Caenorhabditis elegans: one gene and its partners. The protein of the gene in region 1 purifies or fractionates together with the protein of each later gene. This does not show direct contact. Each region holds a gene or a part of one and is shown on either strand. Other genes may lie near its edges. The genes, in order: lin-40, let-418, chd-3 and blmp-1.

Region 1 (4,654 bases):
ATTTGGGTTTAAAAACGAAAAAAATGCAGTTTTTTAAAGATTTTGGCTCAGTTTTCTATATAATGAGAGTTACGACCAATCAGCGATTAGCTCCGCCCATTTTTCAACCAATCAGAGGAATGTGCGGCGCTGGTTGGTTTGAAATTGGGCGGAGCGAATCGCTGATTGGTCGCAGTTCTCATTTTGAAGAGAATTAGGCCTATATTGAGCTTTTTACCATTTTGGCCGAGTTTCCTCCAAAATAAGACCTGCGACCAATCAGCGATTAGCTCCGCCCATTTTTCAACCAATCAGAGGAATGCGCGGCGCTGGTTGGTTTGAAATTGGGCGGAGCGAATCGCTGATTGGTCGCAGTTCTCATTTTGAAGAGAATTAAGCCTAAATTGAGCTTTTTACCATTTTGGCCGAGTTTCCTCCGAAATTAGACCTGCGACCAATCAGCGATTAGCTCCACCCATTTTCCAACCAATCATAGGAATGTGCGGTATTCGACGACGCTGATTGGTTGAAAAATGGGCGGAGCGAATCATTTATTGGTCGTAGCTCATTTTGGTGGGAATTTGGCCAAAATTGAGTTTTTCAATTTTTTTTTTTGATTTTTCGTGCAATTTTCAACCAATCCTTACCCTGGGCGTTGCGACCACTTGCGGCGTCGTTTGCGCCTGCCGCTGTTGCTGCTGCTGAATCTGTTGTTGAATTTGTGCCTGGATTTTCTGAGCGAAATTCTTCTGTAGCTGTAGAAATTGCTCCTGGGTGATTTGGCCACGTGCCAGCGCCTCCTTTGCCACATTCAACAAATTCTGCTTATCACCACTGTTCAGCGTCATGAGCATGTTGGCGGCGGCAGCGCGCTGCTGCTGCTGTTGTTGTGGAGTCAACGTGTTCACCGCCGCCGTGGCAGCCGCCTTCTGAGAAGCTGGAGTTCCATTTGAGGCCGCTGGCGTCGGCGCTACCGGCTCCACCGGTGGCGGCCGCGTCTTGTCGAACCGCTCGAGCTCGTGCTTCTGATTGAGCCCGGCGAACTTCTTCCACTGAATCCAACACGTCGAGCACAGAACCTTCTTATCGCCGACACCTCCCCACTGATACCAGTTGAGAGCGTCCAGCGTCCCGCAATTCTCACACGGATTGTCGTTGTTCATCAGCGTCGTCTGGCTAGTGTTGTACGGAAGAATCGAGGCGGCGATCGGCTTGTTGAACGGCGGAATGTAGATGTTGGTGAACTTCTCGTCCGTCGTCGTCGAGCTTCCACCACCCGCCGATGGCTTGTTCTTCTTGCGATCTGTGTATCGATTGGAGGCCTTCATAAGGTAATAGTACTCGACAATGTCCCGAATCGACTTCCACGGAAGGTACTCGGCGCGGATCTCATTGAAATCCTTGCCCACCTTATCCAGCGCATCCTCGAACAGATTCATCTCGGGCGTCGACCACTCTTCCAGCTGATCCCGACACAAAATCGGTCCGCCAAGGGTCTTAGTCTGCAGGCCGCTTGAATCATCGACCTGGCACGGGTACGTGTCTCGAGAGGCCACTGGGACCAGGTACTTGACAGCCTGCCCGACATCATAGTTGGCCTGATGAAGGATCGCGTGGGCGTGGAAGATGGTGACGTCACGGGAGGCGAAGGCGGCGGCTAGCTGAAGAGTCGGAAGCTTCGGCGCGGAAGCTCCATCGATGGCTCGGGCGAATAGGCCGACTGATCGGGCCACAATCATGTACTGATCAATGTCACGGTCGGTGAGAGCGTGGTGCGGGTGCCAGACGAGGACTTCACCTACTTCACCTTCGGAATCGGTGGTGGTAGCTTCCTCTTCCACCTTGGTCTCTTCCTTTTCCTCATTCTTCAGCTCCGGCATCTCCTCATCCTCGGCGATCGTCAACCCATCATTCTCAGTGTCCTCCTCGGCTTCAGCCTTCAACTTTGCCTCCTCTTCCTCCTTCTTAACCTTCTCGGCCAGCACCTTCGCCTCCTTCGCCTCCCGATCGGCGGGCTCCATCCACTCATCCACCACCGCCTGATACTTCTCGCCAACCCTAATAGCACCCTTATCAGCCAGCAAAGTCTGCGCATTCGGGTCATAGACAAGGGAATGATAGAAGGTATCATCCAGAGGCAGGTAGTTCTGAGCCTCTTCACCATCTCCCAGAAGAACGACTCGACACTTTCCACGAATCGCCGCTGCTGGAAGGATCTCCGATTGCCTCGTCATAAAGATCTCATGCTGTCGGAGCTTCAGCCTCTGATCCGGGGTGAGCTTGTCGACTCCGAGCGGAAGGCCTCCATCACCCCAGTCAATGAGCTTCGTGGCTTCTGCTTCGGCAGTCTCCTTGAGGTTTTTCGCGTTTTCCTTGGCTTCTTTTTCTTCTTTTTTGTCCTTTGCGGTCGCTGCTGGAGCATCCGACGCCGATGGCTCCTCAGTCGAGCTGGTTCTTCCCTGCCCAACCGGGGCCGGGCATTCTTCGTCCTCTTCCATTTTCTCTGCCACGTCATCAGTATCTTCCTTCACTTTTGTTTCAGACGTCTCCGCAGAAGCTTCGGTGGCTTCTGGAGCAGCTTCTGGAGCAGCTTCAGAAGCTCCATTGACAACGATAAATCCTTTTGTGGTAAAATTCTCGGGCTTCTTCTTATCCACTTCGTAATCTGAAAAAAATTGAATTGAATTTTAATATTTTCAAATAAAGTAAGCTGGGGAAAAGCTCACAATTATCGAATCGCCTCTGCGCTTGATCGGCAATTTTCAGCAAATGTTGTGGAATGTCACGTCGTCGGAGGTAGACGACGCATCGCGCATCCACGCCGCCCTTTTCTGTCTGAAAATTGAGAAATTTTGGGCTTTTTCAGGCTTTTGGGGCTTTTTTTCCAGCCAACTAATCTAACCTTGACAAGCTCCTCGATTTTGCGGATCTGATATGGAGCGTCGGTGGCCGACGTGTCGTCGAAATAGACAAAATCGCCGACGGCGTACGTGACTCGAGTTGATGTTGACGACAACGATGATGAGCTCATCGTGACCCGTTAAAGCTCTGCAAAAATTGGAGGATTTTTTGGGGAAAAGTCGAATTAGTCGAAAAGTCGAAAATTCGAGAAATTACATTAAAAAAATGTTTTTATTTTGCTATCAAAATTATTTAAATTTCTCCATTTTCGCCCAAAAAGCACAAAATTTCGCGATTTCTGCTTTAAAAATGGTCTCGAAGCGACAATTTTTTGTTAAATGTGGTGCGAAAAAGTGCGCGCCTTTAAAGAGTACTGTAATTTCAAACTTTTCGTTTCTGCGGAATTTTTCTTATTGATTTTTCGAAGGCTTTCTCACCGATTTGTTCAAATTCAGAAAAACTAGGAATAATCGATTGAAATTCCGGGGAAACGAAAATTTGAAATTATAGTACTCTTTAAAGGCGCACACCTGTTCGAATTTAACAAAAAATTGTCGTGTCGAGACCCGGTATCGTATTTTTGGAGCAAAAAGCGCAATATTTCGCGTCCGGATAATAACCAAAATACTAAAAATGAGGAGACAGTGCGAAAACTCTAAATTCGGTAAAAAAAGCATTAATTTTTTGAAATTTTTTAGCTTTAAGCGGAAAATAGAGAAATTCGAATAATTTTTGAGTGCACAAAATCGATATCATCTGAAAAGTGAAAAAATAATTAAAAATTATCCGCATTTTTTGCGCTATTAAAATTTTTTTTGAAAAAGAACAAAATAGATTTTTTAAAATTGGAAATTAATTAGTTTTTTAAAAATTAAATTAAATTTCAAAAAAAATCCAGAAAACGGTCCTTCTCTTTCGGATAAATCGCCGTGACAACTAGAAAAAAGGATAGATTCAGACAACGAGAGACATGGAGAGACGCAGAAACAAGAGGAACGTCCAGCAGCAGCAGCAGCAGAGGGAGAGACGAAGACATAGGTGGGGAGGGGTCACTCGGAAGAATGGTTAAAGCGTCGGAAATAGTACTGAGACCACGGAGACGCAGACGGACGGGCAGAATGGAGACGAGTGAGAGAGCGAGAGATATAAAGAAAAGAGAGAAGAGGCTGCAGGAAGGATGCTCCCCCGACTTATTAAAGGTACCATTACGGGAACACAAAATTCTAGTGAATGCATATTGCACAACATATTTGACGCGCAAAATATCTCGTAGCGAAAAAGAAAACTACAGTAATCCTTTAAATTACTACTGTAGTGCTTGTGTCGATTTACGAAAATCAAGCCCGTAAATCGACACCAGCGCGCACAGTAGTCATTTAAAGAATTACTGTAGTTTTCGCTACGAGATATTTTGCTCGTCAAATGTGTTGTGCAGCATTCTCAGAATTTAGTGAACCCATTTAAAACCGCTTGGAATCAAAAATTTTGCCGGCAAAATCGGAAATTTGCCGATTTTCAGGAATTTTTCGTATTTTTTGATAAATTTCCCGTTGTTTTTTTATGATTTTTATGCCGAAATTTATGAATTTCAGCTAAATTGCCAATTTTGACGTAAAAATCATAAAAACTTACTGAAAACGTAGCAAAAAATTCTAAAAATGCTAGAAAATCGGCAAAATTTCAGATTTTCCTATTTTTTTGAAATGCAATTGAAAAAATCCAGTTCAAAACAGTCCTACAAGGCTGAAAAGGGCAAAATAGGCTTGTAAGTCGG
Region 2 (7,904 bases), 2.1 Mb from region 1:
ACGAAAAGATCAGGATTAAACGTTTACACAGATTCATGACGCAATTATTTGAATTGCATTTCAATTGATGCAACTAAAAAGAGAACAATAAATAATATAATGGTTTAAAGTTTGAAAAAATACAGTAAAACCCAATAAAATTAAAAAGACATTCAAGTTTCCATTGGTTCTGGCTCATCTGTTGGAGCTTGATCTTCGGCGGAAGCTGGTTCGGCGTCGGCAGCTGTTTCAGAACTGACAGCAGCAGCAGCGGAAGTAGATGGAACATCGTTGCTATCGTCGGAATTCACTTCTGGAAATAGAAATACATTGAGTTATTTTAAGATCCATATGAATTAGTACTAACCTGCACTAAGAACTGGCGGAGCTTCGGCGCTATCTTGAGTCTCATCATCTGGTTCTTGTTTTACACCTTCTTCCTCTTCTGCCTCTACTGGTTCATCCTCTTCCATCCTTTCTCCATTTTCAGACATGAATTTACTGTAAAGAGCTGCAAACTTTGGTTGAATGCCATCCATCTGCTGGCGAAGTATTGGAGTTACAAATGGTCCTGGTGGTGGAAGTACGCTACGGTTGGCTATCGCGTCCTCGTCTTTTGTGGTCAGTCGCGAAAGAATTCTGAAATATATATACATATATTGACTGAAGCTTTTACGAGTTAAAACTTACTGTCTCTCGGTCATGTTGAGACGTTCGGTGACAGTCGCTAACTGTGTAAAAGTAGATGGAAGTCTAGACACGTCGGCCTTCATATCGGAAAGTATTTCGTCGAGCTGAACCAATGTTTTGTGTAGAACGGCATTCGCATTACGATTTCCAGCAGAACTTTCTTTGGCGATATTAGCTTGAGATTCAGCAATATTCTCTAAATCCGCAAAACGTTGAGCCAATGGTCCAACATTATCCGGCTGCAAGTGACGATTGGCGTGTGCAGCGCGACGAAGTTGCTCCTCAATCACAAGGGACTGTTCAATAAGTTTGAAACGACGTTGCATAAACTTGGCTTTGATGTCAGATCCTGTTGCCTCAGCGCCAACTTCCTTGAATGGCTCATTGAGAACTGAGAATCTGGGATCATTGATGATGTCATTGAAATTAGCTTGGAAACGTCCATATCCGTGTACAACAACACCAGCTAAAAGCCAATAGTCGTGTCTGCGGTACCAGATTTCATATTCTTTTCCGTTTCTTGCAACTTTCTCTTCATTGGCCCACAAAGAGTGAAGTTCAGTGAATCCACCGTCACAAATGTTGAACTTGAATGATGGACGGGCTGCTCTTGGTTTCTCGGTTTCAATTGGTTCTTCTTTCGGTTCTTTGGCTTCATCTGTATCCATTGGTTCGTCAACAGGAGCGTTTTGTTCACTCTCAGCATCTGTAGCTGGCTCTGATGTAGCTCCGTTAACTGTTTCAGTAGCATCTTCCTTTTCCATTGGTTCTTCCTTCGGCTCTTCTTTTGGTTTCGGAGTACTTCTTGAAGATCCTTGTGCCGAACCATTGGCAGCTTTAGCGAGAACTTCGTCTTGTATTTCAGGCATAGACCATTGGCCATTATATTGCTCAAATTCTTGAACCTTCCGCCGAACTAAACTCAGCAATCCGATTCGGCCAAGAACATGCTGACGATTAAGACCTTCTCTTGGAACTCCATCATTAAAGGTATCATGACCATCAGCTCCAGGCTCACAGAGATGTCGCATGAACAGTGAAGCATAAGCTCGGAAGACTTTTTCCGATTTGTTTCTCAGATCTCGAACAAGCCATTGAGATTGATGAGAATCTTGTGGAGGCATTCCCCAGCGCATAACAGCCCCGTAGAACGCCTTGCGTTGACGTGGATTGAAACCAAGAATCTCAACTTGTCCATTGACTTTAGCCATGAGTGGAGGCATTTTTTCTTCATCACGACGCCGCTTTTTCTTCTCATCGTAATCATCTTCATCAGAGTTCAGGCCGTCGCCATTGTCCGAACCACGGTACGACTCGTTATCATCGTCATCATCTTGGGTTTGGTTCTGAAAAAAATCATTAAATGTTTAATCAGAAATTAATCAGAAAAACCCAATTAATCAGAAAAAAAACAAACCTGCTTGCTCCAATCAGTTCCCATATTCTCACTGGCATAGTTGATTTGTTTGCGAACACGTTTTCCCTTTCCAAGCTTTTGCAATTCGATTTCCCTGTCCTGTTCGTAGTGATGCTTGAGCAGCTTCTCCCAATAATCTGGATCTGGTTCTTTCTCATCTTCTTTAATCACTTCCGTTTCCTCTTCCTCCTCTTCTTCTTGTCCTTCAGTCTCTTTTGTCTGATAGCTGGCCACCTTGAACGAGCTTAGATATTCGTTTTGCCATTCAGCTTTTTCTTCGCCATCTTCTCCTGCTGGAGTCTCTTCTTTGTTACTGCGATCGAGAAGAGCATCTACAGCTGCATCATCCCAAACAATTTCTTGTGCGGCAGCACCTTTCTTCTCCGAGCCTTCGCCTTCGGCAGCATCAAGATCCTCACTGAATAACTCTTCGGTTCCCCATCGAAGCACATCGTCCAGCTCAGTCTTGCTCATTGTCTTTCCTTCTTTTCCTCCCAATCCTGCACGTACAACCAAGTGATTCAAAAGCATCTTCTTCTTGGCAACTGAAGTGATTTTTTCTTCGACAGATTTCTTTGTTACAAAACGATAAATCATAACTTTATGCTTCTGTCCGAGACGATGTGCACGAGAGAAAGCTTGAATATCATTGTGAGGATTCCAATCAGAATCATATATGATAACCGTATCAGCAGTTGCCAGATTGATACCAAGACCTCCAGCTCGAGTGGAGAGCAAGAAAATAAATTGTTGAGCTCCAGGAGCATTGTAACGATCGATAGCATCTTGTCTCATTTGTCCCATGATACTTCCATCTATTCTTTCATATCTGTATCCTTCATATTCACATAAATCTTCCATTATGTCCAGCATCCTTGTCATTTGTGAGAAGATAAGCACTCGGTGGCCACCATCCTTCAGCTTTCTCAACATTTTTTGAAGAAGAACAAACTTTCCGGAATTCTTGATGAGCGCCGTTCCTTCATACATTCCGTTTTTCTCTTTCGGAGCCTCCAACTCTGCCTTCACAAAAAGATATGGATGATTACAACATTTCTTCAATTCCATAAGGACGTTCATCAATGACATTTGAGTTCCTCCATTCTTCACATTCAATGCATCAAAATTGCGAGTCAGAATATTTTTATACCATTTTTTCTGCATAGCACTCAGTTCAACTCGAACAATTAATTCTGATTTCGATGGCATGCCAGTCAACACATCAGCTTTGAGACGGCGAAGCATGTGAGGTCCGAGCAAGTTATGAAGTTTTTCAATTTGATCCTCTTTGGAAATCTCATTGAATTCGGCAGTGAAAGCCTCGAGCTGACTGAAAAAATGCAATTAATAAAATAAAATACACAAAAATTCAGAAACTTACTTGAAACGTTCTTTGGACAAGAAATTGAGGAGATGGAAGAGCTCTTCTAAATTGTTTTGAAGTGGAGTTCCGGTGAGAAGTACGCGATAATGAATAGTATATTCATTGAGATTTTTGAAGAACAACGACTGATTATTCTTTAACCGATGAGCCTCATCAACAACAAGAGCTCCCCATTCAATGGAAGAAAGTATAGTTTTATCCATATTGATAGTCTCATAAGAAGTGAGCAACACGTGGAACTTCATATTCTCTGTCGTCTTCATTTTTGAAGCCTTCGGTCCGGATCGAACGGCACCTTCAACGAAAGAAAACTCATGTTCTCGGAGCACAACACGAGCATCTCTAAGACCAACATAAGTGACCACATAGAAATCAGGACACCATTGTTCAGCCTCACGCTCCCAATTGATAATAGTTGATAGAGGAGCGGCAATCAAAAATGGTCCTTTGCAATGGCCTTCCTTCATGAGACTGTATAAGAAAGTAAGCGATTGAACAGTCTTCCCAAGACCCATTTCATCAGCGAGAATCGCATCAGTTCCGTTGGACCAACAATGACGAAGCCAGTTAAGTCCTTCCAGTTGATATGGATGAAGTTTTCCTCCGGTTTCCGTAACGTAGTCGGGCTGAACTTCATATTTTTTACGGATGTCAATCTTCTCACGCTTCTTCTTTTTCTTTTCGTCTTCTTTTGGAGGAAGACCTTTAGCTTCGCGATGTTTAGCAATCATCTTCTGCACATTTTTAGGAATATCCTCATTTAATTTGCTCTCACGATGTTGCCAGTATTTAATGATTGCTTCTTCGTAATTGGCAATATTAGAATCATCTCGTTCCCAAGTGGCTTGATCATAGCTGAGCTCCTTCCACTTAACAAGGTAATCCTGCTGCGACTTTGCATATGATTGATGATTGATAATACGATGAATTTGCATCCATTCCGGTTTGATACCATACTGGTAGAACCGCTCGCGCAATTTATAAGGATCATTATCAGAATGATGACGAGACGTAACGGATTCTTCAAATTCTGGAGGAGCATCGGAATCATTTTTGCGCCAATATAGCAATATAAGCTGGAAAAATAAACATTAGTCAAATGGACTTCATCACTTAAAACTCACCATACGGAAATGAACTTCCAACAGCATTTCGGAGACCCAAGAACACTGCCAGTATGATAAATACTTCCATTTCACGAAGAATTCACGCTCACGTCTTGGTTCCATTTTCCGTGGTGGTTTGAGCATCGCATCGTCACTCGAAGCCTCTTTCCCAGCTTCGAGAGGTTCTGGATACGGGATTTCCTTCCATCTCCAGCAAAGGATTTTTTCGATTTTGTGTTCCGGCTTAACCGTCTCGCACCGTGGGCACGACCATGTTTCTTCTTTCGGAACTTCGGTAAGTGGAGGATCAATACAATATGCGTGGAATGAGCATACACAACTATCACAAAGCAGAAGATTCTCAGTTTCTTTGCAGATCTTGCAGAATTCATCGTTTTGCTTCGCCGGTTCTTCTTTAACTACTTCTGGGCCATGTTCGATACAATGAGCACAACTCCAATCACCCTCTGGTGGTTCTTCCATATTTTCATCAATACAGACTGTATGGTAAGCGCGGGGACAGGTGTCACAAAGAAGAAGTTCTCCATCTTGCTTGCACTCCTCACAGTAGTCATTATTTTCAGCTTCTTCGCCCTTTTCTAATTTTGCTTTTTTAGCGGCACGAGCAGCTTCCAATGCTCCTTTTTTCTTCTCTTCTCTTTCCGCTGCACGTTTGATACGAGCATCTTCCTTGTCTTTTACCAAATCGTCCTCCAGTTGTTCTTGTTGCTTAATAAATGCCTCAAACTCTTGATCACTATCAGGAGCATCGGAATCTCGACGCTTTCTCCTTGCAGAACGAGTCTTCGTTGGAGCTGATCGTGGAGGGATGACGGGTGTGGAAACTGCTGGAGTCTTTGAACCTCTAGCTTGTTTTTGAACAGGTTTTCCTTGGGCAGCCATGTGATCTTGATACTCTTTATATTTGACTTGGAACATCGGGTACATCTTGGATACGTTGGTTCCGGGGTTTGCCTCCAGTATTTGTGGCTTGATGATTGAGGAGAAAGTCTGTAAAAAAGATGTTTAATTGGAGGAAAACAGAAATCGAGATTTAAAAAATAAATTTTGAATAATCACCTTCAGATTAGAAATTCCTTGAAACTCCTCTTCATCATAATCAAATTCGACGTCTGTCAATCCGATAGCAGCACAAACTTCTTCACTTGTCGAATTATACGGATCAGGAATCTCAACCTTGCTAGCTGCGGCAGCACTCTTTTTGGATCCTTTTTTGCCTCCCTTTCCGCCTTTCTTTCTAGAAGAACGCTTTCGCTCAGATGGTCCAGCCTCATCGCCTTGCTCTTGTTCTTCCTCTTCTTCTGTTTCTTCAGTTGCGTCTTGAGTGACAGAACCCTCTTCCATTGATTCTTCCGCGTCCACTAAAGACGGATCTTCTTCAGTTGACATTGTTGAATTCTCAGGAGAAATACAATTTCTGAAAATTGATTAATATAAGTAAGACATAAATAATTGCAAGAAGGACATTATAAAGAGAACAAATTAGAAAGCTCGAATGCAAATCAGCAAAATTTGAAAGTGTGAAAAGTCTGCAAACACGGCGACGAAATAACACACAGAGTTGAGTGTAAATTTTGGGCTGATAGATTAAGCCTTAATTTTTTCTAAAAAACGTAGAAAATTTTGAAAATATTAAATTCCTAAAGTAGGAATTTAAATTTAAGCTCGTCAAGCTATTTTAAATTTTTTAAAATTTATTTTACAACCTACGTTTCAAGTTTTCTAAAATCTACCATCGAGAAAATGCAATTATTACAAGAAAAGTTAGAAAAAATAGCCGTATTCAAAAACATATTTCAAACAAATATTGATTCGAAACGGGACAATTTCATGTCCCCATATGTCCCATTTGACGAGACACTGCGGGGACATTGCAGAACGGGGACACAGCTCGTTGGGACGGTGGTCAGAGAAAGAGAGACGAGAGGAGAGTGATGGAAATTCGAATGACCCGTCTTCGCGCGTAAGAGTGACCAAATGCAGCGTCGTGTTTCCCGCAACGAAAATTATTAATACGTGGCATGTCCCTTTACTAATTTGAGTTGAGAATTATGTTGTTCACAGAAAATTAAAAACACGTTGGATTACGGATTAAAAAAAAAACTAGTAAATTAGATCTATTTCAGGATTCAAATCAGGTAAAAACTGTGAACCGTCCTGATAGAATTAAAATTTTGAATTAAAATTGGGAAAATTACGAGCAAATATTTATGACGATTTTAGAAATATACTTGTATACTTAGAAATATCAAATTGCGGAAATTGAGAGGAAACGCGAATCCAAAAAGCGAGCCAAAAAAAAATGAAAAAGAAAACATTTGAACAAAACGCATCTGCTGGCAATGGAGCGCACCTGCATAGCTCCCGAAAATAGGTTTCTTCTTCGGAACTTTACTAATTTTTAATTGAATCAGCATGTATATACAAATTCTTATACAAAGATATACAAATTCTTTTCAGAAACTAGGAAAACCTTAGAAAACAGGGAAAAAGCTAAAAAAAAAAGAACGGGACAGTAAACGTTAAGACGCACACACAACATTTTAAAATCAATGCACTTAGCGCGGCGAGACCCATTCGCATAAATGGACCTCCCTTGAAAGCGCAAAAGCGGAAAATGATTCAAATCGATGCACGGCAGTGAAGAAAAAGATCTAGAAGTTCAAAACACGTGTTTATGCGAGTTAAAAATAATTTAAAAGAAATAAAATGTTCATAATGTTTAAATCAAGGATAAACAAATTTACCTTGACCTTCTGAAAACGTGGCAATTTTAAATGATTGAATAACATTTAATATTTCGAATTAACAGTATAACGCTTTAGATTCGCCCTATTATAAGCTTCTAGAAATTATATCTTAACTTCTGAAAAAATTTCTCAAACTGCTAGATTTTCTACAAAATTGTAAAAGTGTAATTTGGAAAATAATGTTCGAAAACAGTGATATTACGGGAACACAGAATTTTGAGAATGCGTATTGCACAAGGCATTTGAAATAGAGCCCGTAAATCGCCATAAGAGCTACAGTAATCAGTTAAAGTGTTACTGTAGTTTTCGCTATGAGATACTTTCAAATATGTTGTGAAATACGCATTCTCAGAATTTTGTGTTGACATAATAGAGTACTCAAATGTCCAAACTTTAAAATGATATATCTGTCAACTTACCACAAATTTGGTAATTTGGCTTTTACAGAAATCGACTAATTCTGAATATTTTAAAGCAAGATCCCCAAGTTCCCAAAAACAAATTGTACAAAGGAAATATAACCAACATCATTTTCAGGCATGTGTCATCGTTTTTTA
Region 3 (7,533 bases), on another chromosome or scaffold:
CCAAAGTTAAAATCCACGTGGCTTAATATCTCGGATAGGACGAACCAGCAGCTGCTGACGTTGAGGGAATATCCTTGTCAGATGTATCCATTGGCTCTGAAATCAATAAAATGTATTGCTAATTTTGTCATCTCAAACTTGAAGTTTGAACATTAGCCACTAACCATCCTTCGTTGCAGCAATTGATGATGCTCGGGATGCCTCGGCGACAGCTGCAGATATTGATCCTTCAATATCAATAGGTTCATCATCAGGCGACAAATTACAGTCAAATAGAGAAGGAAACTTTGGCTGGATAGTGGTGAAGTTTTGATTGAACAAAGGTGTGATGAATGGTCCGCTTGGTGGGAGTGCTGGCTTGCTTGGAGCAGCATCGGGATCCTTGGCGACTACTAAGCGCGATAGAATTCTGCAAAGAATAAAATTCCAGTTTTATATATTTCTCGTTAATCACTCACTGTCGTTCACTCATTTGAAGTCTTTCGGTGACTGGCCGAACTTGAGAGATTGTTGCTGGCAGTCTTGCAACGTCGGTTTTCAAGTCGGAAAGCAAATCATCGAGTTGGGCAAGGCACTTGTGAAGAATCGCGTTAGCATTTCTGTTTCCATTGTTGCTTTCTCTTGCAATATTGACGTGAGCATCAGCAGTGTGCTCCAGCTCCGAGAAATGCTGAGCCAATTGGCCAACTTGGTCAGGAGACTGTTGTTTGTTGATGTGAGCTGCACGACGAAGTTGTTCTTCAATGACCAGTGATTGCTCGAGAAGTTTGAAACGACGAGCCAAAAACTTGTTCTTCACGTCAGCAAAATTAGTGGCAGGATCTGCACCAGTTTGTTTGAATGGCTCATTTACAATCGAAAATTTCGGATCATTCATAATATCTTGGAAGTTAATTTGATAACGTCCGTAGCCATAGACTGCCACAGCTGCCAAAAGCCAGAAATCGTGCCGGCGATGCCAAATCTCATACTCTTTTCCATTGCGAGCCACCTTCTCTTCATTAATCCAAAGACTATGAAGCTCAGTGTATCCTCCATCGCAAATATTAAATTTGTATGGTAAACGAGGAGCTTTGGGTTCCTCCTCGACTTTCACTTCACTGGCAAGTTCTTCTGTTTTAGTTATATTGGACTGATCAACATCCATCGGAGTCTCATCAATATCAATTGGCTCTTCTTTGATCTTAATCATTCCAGGTAAATTCGAAACTGATGCTTGAGCTGCGGTGGCCAACATCTTTTCACGTGTCTCTGGCATTGACCATTCTCCATTGAATTTTTCAAACTCTTGCACTTTTTTGCGCAGAATCGACATCAAGCCGATACGACTCAGAACCGCTTGACGATTGAGACCTTCACGTGGAACACCATCCATAAAAGAGTCACTGTTATCCACAACCGGCTCACACAGATGGCGCATGAAGAGGGATGAGTACGCCTTGAACACTTTTTCCGATTTGTTCCTGAGATCTCGAACTTGCCATGATGATTGGGTGAGGTCTTGTGGTGGCATTCCCCAACGCATGACAGCATTGTAAAAGGCTTTTCGTTGACGTGGGTTGAATCCGAGAACCTCAATTTGGCCATTGACCTTGGCAAGGAGTGGTGGAAGCTTTTCGGATCGTTCCTCGCGACGTCGGCGCCTTTCCTCATAGTCTTCGTCAGTTTGGAGTAGTTCCCCATTGTCGGATCCGTATTCTGAGCCGTCATCTTCCTCTTGTTGTTGGTTCTAAAAATTTAAAAATCAAGAAAACAACTACATTGATCTTCCTTTATAAGCATTTCAATTATAAATTTAATAACATGCCCTCACTATTTTGGTTTTCAGAACTAATCAAAATTTGGTCAGCAAATATTTTTGTGGTTTCATGTGGCATGCGCTTTTTTATCAACAGAGCGTATTTGCCGCCGCAGTTGTGAGTGAGAGCTTGGCAGCAAAAAAACTACAAATATCGTTGGCTATCATTTATGGAAAAAAAAAGAAACTACAACAACTCACATTTTGAGCAGACCAGTCTTGTCCCATATTTTCACTGGCATAATTGACCTGGCGACGTACTCGCTTTCCTTTTCCCAACTTCTGTAGCTCAGTTTCTTGGTCTTGTTCATAATGATGCTTGAGCAACTTCTCCCAATAGTTTGGATCTTGCTCTTCCGTTCCCTCTTTGATGACTTCTGTCTCATCTTCATCATCATCTGCGTCGTCTGCTTCTTTCGTATTATAAGTGGCTACTTTGAAAGAGCTCAAATATTCATTAGTCCAATGTTCCTTCTTTTCACCGTCCTGACCTTCTTCCTCCTTGTTTCGGTCCAACAGGAAATCGACTGCAGCGTCATCCCAAACAATTTCTTGTTCGTTCGGCTTTTTAGAACTGGTTCCCTCTCCGTCTGCACCCTCAACTGGAGCTTCTTCTTCTTTGAAAAGCTCTTCGGTACCCCAACGTAGAACGTCGTCAAGTTCAGTTTTGCTCATGCTCTTCCCATCTTTAGCTCCCAGACCAGCACGGACTACCAAGTGAGTGAGAAGCATCTTTTTCTTGGCAACTGATGTGATTCTTTCTTCAACTGATCCTTTTGTGACAAAGCGGTAAATCATTACTTTGTGTTTCTGACCAAGACGGTGAGCACGTGAGAAAGCTTGGATATCATTGTGAGGATTCCAGTCAGAGTCATAAATGATGACAGTATCAGCAGTAGCCAAGTTGATACCCAATCCTCCAGCACGAGTAGAGAGCAAGAAGACAAACTGTTTCGCTCCCGGAGCATTATATCTATCGATTGCGTCTTGTCTCTGTTGACCAGTGATACTTCCATCAATACGTTCATACTTGTAACCTTCAACATCACAAAAGTCTTCAAGAATATCCAACATCATCGTCATCTGTGAAAAGATCAGCACGCGATGACCTCCATCCTTCAGCTTTCGCAACATTTTTTGCAGAAGGACAAATTTTCCGGCATTTTTGATAAGCGCACTTCCCTCGTACATTCCATTTTTAAGTTTTGGAGCTTCCAAACACGCTTTCATAAAGAGATACGGATGGTTGCAGCATTTTTTAAGTTCCATAATGATGTTGATCAACGACATCTGGGTTCCACCATTCTTCACATTCAACGCGTCAAAATTGCGAGTGAGAATGTTCTTGTAGTATTTCTTCTGCATCGCACTGAGCTCTACACGGACAATCAACTCTTGCTTGGATGGCATTCCAGTAAGGACGTCAGCTTTAAGACGACGAAGCATGTGTGGGCCGAGCAGGTTGTGAAGTTTCTCAATTTGATCTTCTTTGGAGATTTCGGAAAACTCTGCTGTGAAGCTTTCAAGCTGGCTGAAAAATTAACGATATAAAAAACCCTATCTAGTTAAAAACTTACTTAAAGCGGTCTGGTGCGAGGAAATTGAGAAGATGAAACAGCTCCTCTAAATTGTTTTGAAGTGGAGTTCCAGTGAGAAGCACACGGTACTGAATGTTGTATTCTCTGAGGTTTTTGAAGAATGTCGATTGATTATTTTTCAAACGATGAGCTTCATCAACGACTAGTGCAGCCCAGTCAATGGATGAAAGAATTGCCTTATCCATATTAATACATTCATATGAAGTGAGAAGAACGTGGAATTTCAAGTTTTCCAATGTCTTAATCTTGGAAACTTTTGGCCCTCCTCTGACGGCTCCATCCACAAATGAAAACTCATGCTCACGAATGACCATGCGCGATTCACGATCTCCAACATAGGTAACGACGTAGAAGTCTGGACACCAAAGCTCGGCTTCACGTTCCCAATTGATGATAGTAGACAGTGGAGCAGCAATGAGGAATGGCCCCTTGGTATGCCCTTCTTTCATGAGTGTGTACAGGAATGTCAGAGATTGGACGGTTTTTCCGAGACCCATTTCGTCGGCAAGAATGGCATCAGTTCCATTCGACCAACAATGTCGCAGCCAGTTGATTCCTTCCAATTGGTATGGATGAAGATTTCCCCCAGTTTCCGAAATAAAGTCTGGTTGCACTTCGTATTTTTTGAGGATCTGAAAAAAACGAAATGGTGAATTTTGAAAACTTATTTATTGAACTTACATCAATTTTTTCTCGTTTCTTTCTTCTCGAGGTGACTTCATCCTCCTTAGGTCCCAGTCCCTTAGCTTCACGCTGCTTAGCAATCATCTTCTGCACATTTCTAGGAACTTCGTCGTTCAGCATGCGTTCTCTGTGATGCCAATACTTGATGATCGCATCTTCATAGTTGGCAATATCCGTATCATCTCTTTCCCAGGTCGCGTGCTCATAAGATAGCTCCTTCCACTTGACTAGGTAGTCTTGTTGAGACTTTGCATATGACAAGTGATTGATAATACGATGAATTTGCATCCATTCAGGCTTAACACCATATTGGTAGAAACGCTCGCGTAGTTTGTATGGATCATGATCGGAATGATGGCGTGAGAGTGTAGACTCCTCGAAAATCGGTGGATTCTCGGAATCGACTTTCCGCCAGTACATGCGAACAAGCTGAAATAAATAATCATATTTAATAAACAAAAGTTTTTTTTTTAAATTTTCCTGACACAAACATACCGCTGTGAAGTAGACATCCATCAACGTCTCCGAAAGCCACTCGCACTGCCAGTAAGCCAAATACTTCCACTTGACAAAGAACTCCCGCTCTCGACGAGGCTCCATTTTGCGGGGAGGTTTAAGGAACACGTCGTCTTTGCTTGCTTCCTCTCCTTCTTTACATTCCAATGGCTCCGGATAGCTGATTTCCTTCCATCTCCAACTGAGAATCTTCTCAATTCTTTGAGCCGGCTCGGGAATAATGCAACGCGGACAGGACCATTCGCCTTCGGGAATTTCGGTAAGTGGAGGATCAATGCAATAGGCGTGATAAGAGCTTGGACAGGTGTCGCATAGAAGAATATTTGAGGTTTCTTTGCAAATTCGACAATAGTCCATGTTTGCCTTAGCTGGTTCTTCTTCAACTATCAAAACATCCGGACCGTGCTCTTCACAATGGGGACAGCTCCAATCTCCTTCTGGTGGCTGCTCCATGTTCTCATCAATGCATGCAACGTGGTATGCACGAGTACAAGTATCACAGAGCATAAGCTCGCCATCTTGATTGCAAACTTCACAGTTCTCTTGATGGTTTTCTTCCACCACTCCTTGCTCTTTACGTGCTCGTTTCGATGCTCGAGCCGATTCCAATGCGGCCTTACGTTTGTCCACTTTTGCTGCAGCCCGATTAATGCGAGCTTCTTCTTTCCCCTTCTCAGCTTCATCTTGTTGCTTTTCATGTTGTTTGATCAAGGCCTCAAACTCCTGATCACTGTCGTGACCGCCACCTTCACCATCTGATCCGTCACGACGCTTTCTGCGAGCAGAAGAACGAGTCTTCTGTGGAATGATCTTCTCTTGAGGTGTCACCGGAACGGGTACCGGAACAAACTTCGCTCTTTGTTGCTTTTGAATTGATTTGCCGTGTGCTGTCATGTGATCTTGAAATTCTTTGTATTTTACTTGAAATAGAGGGTACATCTTTGTGACGTTTGTGCCGGGATTCACTTTTAAAATGTATGGCTTGACAAGACTCGAAAAGTTCTGAAAATTTAAAGTTTTTGTTTAGGACAAGAAATCGTACATTAAAAAACTCACTTTCAAATTGGTAATCGACTGAAATTCCTCCTGCTCATAGTCCACATCAACGTCGGTCAATCCTATTGCTGCACTGATTTCTGCGCTTGTCGACTTATACGGATCCGGGTAATCACAGTTGTTTTTCTTTTTCGAAGATTTCTTTCCGCCCTTCTTCTTTTTTGGTGGTGGTTTTTTCTTCTCAGAAGTGGTCGGAACTCCCTGAGATTCTTCAGTTTCCACCTCCTCCTCATCTTCGCCGACATCTTCTTCTCCATCCTCATGACCTTCTGCTAGCATGGAATCCTCCTCCATTGTCTCATCACCGTCGATTGATTCGTGTTGATCGTCTGACATTGTTCTTTATGGGAATTACTGAAAGAAGTAATGTTATTAAATTCGTCTTTATATTTTTACGAGGAGAATAAGCGAAGAATAAGAAAACCAGAATTGAATGACCAAGCAACAAAATAACTGAGCCTATCTATTTTATGTACAAAGTTTACCGCCGAAATCCTAAATTTTATGCGGACTTAGCAATGGAGCGCAAATGCATAGTTCCAAAAAATACCAAATTTCCATCTTGAGAACGGTCTGTGGCTGTGAGTTGAATTACTTTGCCAAATATTTTGTGAGAGACCGGATTGATTTGTTGATTTTTTTTTTATTTTTAAAAGATTCAAAGATGCTCCACAAAAATTTTTTCTCATAGCGCAAGGATGATGACACAGTGTGAAAATAAGATTCAAGAAAACCCGTTTTTCGGATTTCAAAATTATCCAGACTAGTTGGAAGACATTAATGAAGACACACATTAAAAATCTGAATAAGGGGATTGTCCCGCCAGGGGTGTCTCATTGTGTCCCACTCGTTGCGTCATTGCGGGGACATCTAGTGTGAGGGTCAGAGACGCGCGCGCGCTGGCGTGTTTGTTTACTGCGAACTCGGTCAGATAAAAAAAAATGAGAGAAAGAGATATGCAACGAGACGAAGACATAACGGGCATAAAAGTTCGAAAGAAGCTCACGTTTGTTCAGAATAACTGATGAGCTTTGTGGAGAGAGGACGAAAACTGATAAGAAAGTCACAATTTATTTTGGAAAGTTTTAAATAGGACAAAGGTCGAATGATCGAATTTTTTATTCAAATTTTGAAACATGATACAGGATCTCAATGGCTAATAGGGAAAATCATGAAAACCATAGAAAATATGATGTAGTAGAGCAAGGAAATAAAATTTTTATCAAATACAAAATTGCAGTCTCGCAATGGAGAGAGGCGTCGAATGAAAAATCAATGTGGATTAAATGAGGCTGGAGCCGAAGCGAGCACGGACGAATATTTTCCGCAGATTAGCTAGAACGAGAGAAACCAGATGGGTGGAGTCTTCTCATCCGACGTGTCTCACACGAAAGATGGAGTGACCATGAGAGACCTAACCAACGATCGATAGGCACGAAGGACAGGTGTTTTAGGACGTGCGCATTGCACACAGCGGTACGAGTGCCCTTGTAAATGAAACTACGAATAGATAGGAACGCATTCGCAGCACTCTTTTTTTGGTAGTCTCATCCAGGTTCTGATCGAAGAGTGAATTAGAACGGTAGTCTTCAAAATTAGTGAAGGAAGCAAATTAATGCCGATCATTTTAAGCAGTTCGTCGATTTTGTCGATTTCGTCAATTTAATATTAAGTTTTTCAGATCCCTAAGCATAAAAACGGTAGAACCACTGTTAACAATAAACGTGCTACTCGATCGTGAAAAAATTGAATGTGTACTACGTACTACGCACGTATACAGAAAAAAAATACACAACGGAATGTGTATTGAGAGAGCCATCTTCAAACCACATTTTACAAAAATTTGAAACCATGTGAATATATATTTTATTGAATTTCTGA
Region 4 (7,929 bases), on another chromosome or scaffold:
TTTCAATTTCGACAAATTCGGCACTTTGCCGGTTTGCCGATTTGCCGGAAATTTCAATTTCGGCAAATCGGGAAATTTCAATTCCGGCAAGCTGTCGGTTTGCCGATTTGCCGGAAGTTTCAATTCCGGCAAATCGGGAAATTTCAATTCCGGCAAGTTGCCGGTTTGCCGATTTGCCGGAAATTTTCAATTACGGCAAATCGGGAAATTTCAATTCCGGCAAGTTGCCGGTTTGCCGATTTGCCGGAAATTTTCAATTACGGCAAATCGGGAAATTTCAATTCCGTCAATTTGCCGATTTGCCGGAAATTTCAATTCTGGCAACTTACCGATTTGCCGATTTGCTGGAAATTTTCAATTTCGACAAATTCGGCACTTTGCCGGTTTGCCGATTTGCCGGAAATTTCAATTGTGGCAACTTACCGATTTGCCGTTTTTCCGGCAAATTTGGCACCTCACCGGTTTGCCGATTTGCCGGAAATTTTCGAGAAAATTAGTATGTATGTAATCCTATCAAGTTTTCAAAGTTTATATATATACATACAAAATTAGACAAGATATTGTTTTGAAAAAGTTAGAAAATAGAAACAACTTCTAGAAAGAAATTGCAAAAATATAATGAAAGTATGATCACAGATAGGTGTGTTGAAATGCCGGAAGATTTTGATGGAAATTGTTGAATAAAAAATAGAAAATTTTGACAGTGATAAGAATGAAAGGGGACTGATAAAGCAAGAGACAATGAGAGAATGAAAAGATAATATAGGTTTAGGCGGTGTATATGGAAGATTTCAAAAAAATAATTATATTAAATCTGATAATTTTGAGAAACGAACTATTTGAACTTTAACTCAGGTTCTTTGTGGAATTATTTGAATTTGAAGTTTTTGAATACAATTAATATTATGAGAGACTCGTTCTGGAATGGGAGGATGGAGAAAGGGGCAGGAAGGTGTAAGAACAATTTGAGATTTTGCGAAAAAAATTGATCTAATTGTTTTCTACCTGGCTTATAAACAAACTGGTAAAAGGGATCTGAAAATATTTGAGTAGCATAGTAAAAAATGAAAATGCTAAGATGCTGGAGAAGCAAGCAGGGGCTCTTGTGTAGGTATAAAATGCCTACACGCCTGCCTACAGGCACTCCAAAAACTGCTAATTTTGGTTAAATTATTTTTTCAATAAAAAATTAATGTTAAAATATAGAAAAATATCCGGATATAGAAATAAAATGAATTTTCGAACTTAACAAACATCTTTCTATATCTACATTCTCACATTAACTTTTTTCAGATGAAATTTGCGTTATTCTACCAAAATAGGCAGTGCTGTGAGGCACGCAGTGGAGGCATTAATTCCTACACAGAAGCTCAAGTACAAATGATATGACTGGATTGTGGGAGACGGGTAGTGTTTTCATAAAGTTATAAATATGATAATTATGGATAATGCGGCAATCCGAGGCTTGGAAGTAGGGGATTTTTCAAATCAGGAAGCCTATGAATCCCATTATGTTGTGGATGTTGCTGTTGACCAGATCCAGATGATGGACCTCCTTGAATAAGTTGATGTTGATGTGGAATACCTCCTCCATTCTGCATTCCACTATGATCCATTTGGAAATGTTGTGGAGGTGGTGGTGGCCCCTGAAGATGGGATCCTTGTCCCATATGTCCCATTGTGTTTCCATACATCATGTGTTGCTGCTGTTGAGATGTTGGTGGTGGAGCCTGTTGTTCTTGCATTCCACTTGGACCTTGACCGAGGAGGGAGGCGTTGGGAAGATTGTATTTCTGAAAATTGTAGGATGAGAATGGGAAAGTGAGATAAGAAATATTTATTTGTATGCATGATGAAGCCGAATATAAAAGCTTACACTATAAATGGTTTCGATTGGCATAAGTGGCCGCTTGAGTTCGGAGTTCTGAAAGCAGTGAAAATGTAAGCAGAAGCAAAGCTGTTGTTAGTAATTTACTTGATTTCTTCTAAAGCTCGAAAACTAAAACTCGAGCAAAAAAATTTATTCACGACCGTATTTCTTCTATTAGTCTTGCGCCCACTTACTCTACTTTGACATCTCATATCTCGGTCCACTAAAGATATTTTTCCAAATGTTTCACAAATTCAATATTTTCTCAGTTAGAAATTTTTCGATAAAACCATAGGCAACTAAGATATGAACTTACAAAGTTAGGAAAAGTGGGTCAATACTATTAGAGGAAACGTTGTCGACTTAAACTTGGACAGTATTAAAAATTTGATCAACTTTTTAAAACTTAGTTTCCATTTTGTAAAAAACGGCGGAACATGTATAACTCGATATAATCTTCATTACTTACCAGTGTATTTTCAAAGATTCCCAGATTTCCATAACCCGACCCTGACATTGATCCTTCATCGATTTCGCCTTTGATATCCATTAAATCATCCCTCATCGAGTCTTTCATATCCTCTTCTTTACATGTAGTTGTTTTCCAATGAGTTCTCAATCCACTCGGTGAAATATATTTCTTTCCACATGTTCCACAACTATACGGTCTTTCGTTTGCATGCAGACGTTTATGAAGTCTTAGATGAACGTATTGAGTGAACTTGGCATCACAAACATCACACGTATACGGCTTCTGACCATTGTGAAGTCGAAGATGAGTTTTTAAATTAGAAGTCGACGAGAATCGCTTATCACAAATATCACAGCGATGAGGACGTTCTCCGGTATGAACAAGATGATGCTTCTGAAGATGAGCAAGCTGTGTGAACTCTTTTGTGCAAATTTCACATTTGAATGGACGTTCGCCGGTGTGCGTTCTGAAATGTTGAAAGTAAAAAAATAATTGGAAAATAAGAAAAGTTCTAACCTGACATGAACTTTAAGATTCGAAAGCTGTCCGAATGTTTTGTTGCAGTCTTTGCAAGCGTATCTCGTTTTTCCATTTTCCTGTTGTTGCACGTACTGAAAAATTTTAATTTAAATTTATTTTCATGTAGAAAATATGAAAAGGAATAACTAGACATTTTACCAGGTCTAGGCGTGTGAATCGCCCTCCTTGCGCCCTGATTTGAAAAAGATTTACAAAAAAGCACCCGGTAATCAATTGATTTATGTATCAAAACTTTGCTAATTTTATTGGGATCAACATAGAAAAGGTAGAGATAAAAGGTAGAGATAAATAGAGGCAGGGTCAAAAATTATAAAAAATATATAATTTAAAAAAATTAAAAAATCTAGTATTAAACATTTAAATATCAACTGTTTTTTAAAAAGAATGTTTCAAAATATTTTCCCATCAACCATCAAGTTCAACAAATTAAAAATCTTCTTTGGTAAAACTTACATTTGGAACTCCATTAAATGATGAATCATTGTGTGATGAAGACGAATGATTAACAAATGGAAGTTGATGAAATGAAGAAGTATGGGCACTTCCACCCATTCCAAATCCTCCACCCATACCACCACCACCTCCGAATGCTGGAGACGCAGATGTGTACAGAGGTTTTGATAGCTCATGCTGGAAATCTTGACTCCCATAAATTGCTGCATAGTTTCCAAAATGAGCTCCTGCAGTTGCTGCAAGTACTGGCTGCACATCAATCGGCTGGCCGGATCTTCCACCAGTGGCAGTTATTGCGGCTGTTGTTTGAGCAACAGGGGACACAAACATTGAGGTATCAACTAGTTCTGAAATAGGGTTCAATTGTTTTCAGGACTTTTTAGGACGCCCCAGTTTGTTTTTAACTTAGCAGTTAACAGTAAGCTATAAAATTATGAATAAACATACAACATGTATTTTGAAAACTTTTCCGTTGATAAAACCACATCCGCACGGGATAAAAGCTGCCGAAAATCCGAAAACAGGTAGATCACTAATTAAAAAGTATAGTAAAGCATAAACAATTTGATAATTTAATTGATTGAGGAAACAATTTTAACAAACTGAAAATATTGTTAAACTTAAGTTGATGTGTTAAAAACAAAAAAAAAGTATACAAATGTATCTTGTTTGTCGACAGAAGCTTAATCCCCATCAAGGACATATGGCGTTTTTAGCTGTTTCTGATAAGTTTTGTTAACAAAATGTTAAGCAACTTTTTGCATCTCCAGTGAAAAAAACTTCAAAAAAAAGTGTTACATTTTCAAAATTTTCAATTTCAGCTTATCAGAGATTCAGAGTGGGATTAATAAACTCACTTAATTGAAGGGATTTCCTCATGAACTCTTTAAAATCCACCAACGGACTTGCATAAAAATTGCCAAGTCGAACGGGTATTCCCGGGAAATTATTGACTTTGGTTGCAACAGGCCTCACAACTGGATTCTGGATAACATTAGGCCGTGTGACTTCTGCAACAGGCCGTGTACAGCTCTCCTGCTCTTCAACATCAATCATTTCTTCGTCACTTGCAGAAGAAGCATCAGTAGAGAGTGTATCAATGGGTGATTCAATGAGTTTTTTAACTGAATAATCAATTGCCACAATTGTTTCTGCTAAACTCGCAATTGCAGTTGATGCAGAAGCTGGTGGTGCAGATGGAATCAGTTGAGTAGCTGGCCTTCGAACTCTTACGTATGGTCTTGTTGAATAATTTAATTTCCTTGCGTAGTCCCTGCTGAACCAAAATGATAATTCAGTATTTGCTTCAATCTTTTTAACTGTGTAAAAGTAGATATCATTTCCAATTTGTGCAGCAACAAGATTCTGAAAATCTTCCTCTTCAGCAGCTGCCACGTATTTCATCCAATTTGATCTCGCATCATCTTTCACACAAATCGTTTTATTCAATCTGCCACCTGATGGAGAATAGATCTTCCACTCTTCCGGAGCTTCATCAAATGGAACATCTTCTTGAGCTGGACCACCTCCAGCCATTGATGCTTCAGCAGGACATACAAGTGCTGTGTCAACATCTACCAAACGAATTTCTCCAACGAGCGGGCCAAATCGGACTCCTCTCGGAATATGATCAGATGACCATATTGACGATTTCTTTCGATTTTTTGAGGAGGACTTGAGAATTAGGTTCATAGGAAGTGTGCATTCTGCTCGCTTTGGATTTGGCTGAAAATAAATGGAATTAAAATTGAAATGGTTTTTTTCGATGTATATTAACTTTCTCATACTATTTTTGTAGTCCTGGCAAAAAAACGGTCGGCAAAAAAGCAACTTTTTAGTGCACATCTCAAACTTTCTATGGAACGTTTTGAACTTTCCAAATTTCTAGAGAACTTTTTGTTCCAAAACCATTTTTTTAGAGAAATATACATGTAGGCAGGCAGGCTCGGTTTTTAAAACTTTATAGACTATAAAATACGAACTCACCAAACTAACAGATTTGTCTGGAACATGAAATATACATAATTCGGCAAGATTCTCATCTCCCGACTGCTTCCAATCAGTTTCAACGTTTCTCGCACCTGAAATTAAAATGTTCATTGTATAAAATGACAGCTTCACAGTTTTTTCTTTCGGTTTAAATTTTGAAGTGATTGTTTTTTTTGTTTTCACTTTCATTTGTTCTTTTTTATATGGTGTCCACGTCTAGTTCAAGAGGGAAAAGAACATTTTGATGATAAGTGATAGCGCGGCGATGATAAGCTTGGCGGCATTGAAATTTGATAAGAAATCCGAAAAGGAAAAAAAAGAAGTGGAGGGAAGAAAAACGAATTTGGCTGATTCGATTTCTTCGCAAATGTAGATCACGGATGGCTGCCAAGGGGGCCGAGTTACAGTATCCTATCACAACTTACCTGACGCTGAAACTCCGGCAGGTGACGTGGATGATGGCGGTGTGGAAGATGATGACGTGGCAGATGAAGCAGAAGAAACGCCGACAGAAAGGGGAGAATGAGGTGGTGAGTGAGCTGCCGCAGCAGCCGAAGAGAACGGTGCCGGCGGAACACCGTCATCCCCACTTCCTTGACCCATTTTTTACAGGTTTTGTTTAAAATGAGATCGAAGGAAAAGAGAAGAGAGATTTATTTTCTGAAATTGAAAACATGATTCTGGTAAAATAAAAATAATTTTTGGCAAAAAGAAAGACAAATTAAAAGTGAACCAATTCAAATAAAAGTTTCAAAACAAGAGCGAGAGAGTAATAGAGCACGGAGAGGGAAAAGGCGAGGGCGAGAATCAGGAAAACGGCGCCGAAATTGTCAAAAAGACCTTGATAAGGAAGAACTCGAAGAATTGGGGTGAAATAGCTGGGTGACCGAGGAGAGTGCAGAGTTAAGAAGAGCAAAAAGGGAAAGTTGGTGATTACGGTAGGTGGGTTAGATGATGGGAGGTTGTGCAATAATAGATTAATGTTTTTTTTAAAGGAGGAACTTATTAAGGCGTCCGGGATGTGCGCCTGCCTACCTATCTTCAATACTGCCTACTGAAAAAGTCAACAAGAACTGAACGAAAACCTAAATTACAGAATATAAGAGGTAGACAGGCATAAGTCAGGCGTCAACGTCTCAAGAAAAATCTGAAGAGGCAGTAGTTCAATAGCTCAATTTTTTTCAATTCCAAGTTAATTTCAGAGTTGAGCTTCTGAATTGAAACTTTTTTAAGATGTCAAGGGAATACGGTATGCATATTGTCGATCCAACAAGTAACCTCGTTGCTCAACTTTCGCGGCTTATATCTCGGTTCTCTTTAGTTGTATCAAAAAACTGTCAACTATAAAAACATTTGCGGACTAATTTTCAATATTTCTGCAGTTGTGCAATTTCGGATATCTAAACAAAAAACCAAGATATTAGCTGAAAAGGTGAGCAGTCCGATTTAATACTAATATAGGGAATACCCTTAAAGACGGACTATGACTTGTGGGGATTTTGCATCAAATTGCTTTAGATACTCCCAATAATTCGTATTAAACAATAAAAACTAAAACAATTGGCTAAGTTTGAAAAAACTTAATTTTTTAATTTCAAGCCTACGGGAGTTGCTCAGGAATATGTGCCGGAGAACTGAAAACCAAACAAGTTCATTTGAAGATTGTTTTAATATTTCAGAAAAATTCAAGCTTGTTCACATAATTTTTGTTCATAAACCTCGAAAATTCCCATCACCGCGGGCACAAATTCCAGAGCTTGTATAAAAAACCTAAATTGGCAACTTTCAAAAAAAGTGACGGGTGAGAAAAAAAAGTTAAAAGTTTAGAAGAAAAAGAGCGAGGCGGGGTCAGATCTGTTTGTCTTTTTCATTTGAAACACGTGTGATTCAGAATTCAGAAAAGGAGCCGACAACTTTCAAACAAAAAAATGTGGGGATTTGGGAAAAGAATACGGTAGCTTGGCAAATATGAAATCAAATTTGAAATGTACTAAAAAAATTGTAAAGGAAGATCGTTCATAAAAAGGAGGAGATGAATAATAAGAGTTTGTACAAAAGGGGGAAAAGCGAGAAAATAGCTGCTGCTACTACTGTTGGATGGGACGAATTGGAAGCAAAGAGAGTGAGAGAATGGATTACGGTAGAAAAGGATAATAAATAGTATTGAAATTTCAGAGATGCAGAGTCACGGTCAGTCATGACGCCGCCCGAGAATTGTCGCTCGCGCGCGCGCAACGACCATTCATCCATGGATTCGGATTCGACGGTGGTCTTCTTCTCTTCCGAAGAGTGTGAGGTATGGCTGTACACAGCAAAGAGAGATCACTGATTGAAGAGAGGATCAGAGAATCAGAGAAAGGGACCGGTTTCCCCCCATTTGTTCGCGCACTCTCTTGCATAATGGACGCTGCTGGACGACGACGACGACGACACAGAGAGGCTTCTTCTTCCCCTTGAACCTGTTCTTGCATATCGGGCCTGTAGAGATCCGCCAAAGTGATTCGAGGAGAGGATCGTCTCTTTTAGCCAATGTTTGTTGGAAGAAGGAGAAAAGAAGGGAACGCGCCGTCGGAGAGGGGGCAAAAGCTTTTGGTTTCTTTTGGCA

The links.
Region 2: the proteins of lin-40 (region 1) and let-418 purify together in Caenorhabditis elegans (affinity purification with western blotting, with the first as the bait; one study listed by BioGRID). This does not show direct contact.
Region 3: the proteins of lin-40 (region 1) and chd-3 purify together in Caenorhabditis elegans (affinity purification with western blotting, with the first as the bait; one study listed by BioGRID). This does not show direct contact.
Region 4: the proteins of lin-40 (region 1) and blmp-1 purify together in Caenorhabditis elegans (affinity purification with western blotting, with the first as the bait; one study listed by BioGRID). This does not show direct contact.

What each region holds. Positions count from the first base shown.
Region 1 is NC_003283.11:3,703,368-3,708,021, reverse strand, and holds the start of lin-40 (DIOX_N domain-containing protein), read right to left. Parts: upstream 3,028-4,654; 5' UTR 3,011-3,027; coding exon 2,882-3,010; intron 2,815-2,881; coding exon 2,706-2,814; intron 2,645-2,705; coding exon 627-2,644; intron 1-626.
Region 2 is NC_003283.11:5,824,943-5,832,846, reverse strand, and holds let-418 (Protein let-418), read right to left. Parts: upstream 6,015-7,904; 5' UTR 5,987-6,014; coding exon 5,657-5,986; intron 5,588-5,656; coding exon 4,595-5,587; intron 4,547-4,594; coding exon 3,468-4,546; intron 3,417-3,467; coding exon 2,087-3,416; intron 2,016-2,086; coding exon 670-2,015; intron 619-669; coding exon 347-618; intron 293-346; coding exon 153-292; 3' UTR 16-152; downstream 1-15. UniProt on the Caenorhabditis elegans protein: Part of a NuRD (Nucleosome Remodeling and Deacetylase) complex which is implicated in the synMuv B pathway that negatively regulates specification of vulval cell fate.
Region 3 is NC_003284.9:12,846,596-12,854,128, forward strand, and holds the start of chd-3 (Chromodomain-helicase-DNA-binding protein 3 homolog), read right to left. Parts: upstream 6,007-7,533; 5' UTR 5,989-6,006; coding exon 5,653-5,988; intron 5,599-5,652; coding exon 4,576-5,598; intron 4,510-4,575; coding exon 4,078-4,509; intron 4,029-4,077; coding exon 3,376-4,028; intron 3,330-3,375; coding exon 2,000-3,329; intron 1,730-1,999; coding exon 459-1,729; intron 410-458; coding exon 165-409; intron 97-164; coding exon 23-96; 3' UTR 1-22. UniProt on the Caenorhabditis elegans protein: ATP-dependent chromatin-remodeling factor that has a role in notch signaling-dependent vulval cell fate determination. May also have a role in pharyngeal precursor cell specification.
Region 4 is NC_003279.8:10,407,357-10,415,285, reverse strand, and holds blmp-1 (B lymphocyte-induced maturation protein 1 homolog), read right to left. Parts: upstream 5,985-7,929; 5' UTR 5,928-5,984; coding exon 5,750-5,927; intron 5,417-5,749; coding exon 5,322-5,416; intron 5,061-5,321; coding exon 4,193-5,060; intron 3,683-4,192; coding exon 3,336-3,682; intron 2,954-3,335; coding exon 2,859-2,953; intron 2,809-2,858; coding exon 2,340-2,808; intron 1,925-2,339; coding exon 1,877-1,924; intron 1,794-1,876; coding exon 1,440-1,793; 3' UTR 513-1,439; downstream 1-512. UniProt on the Caenorhabditis elegans protein: Transcription factor which binds to enhancer elements in the promoter region of genes. Regulates the expression of the transcription factor bed-3 to control vulval development.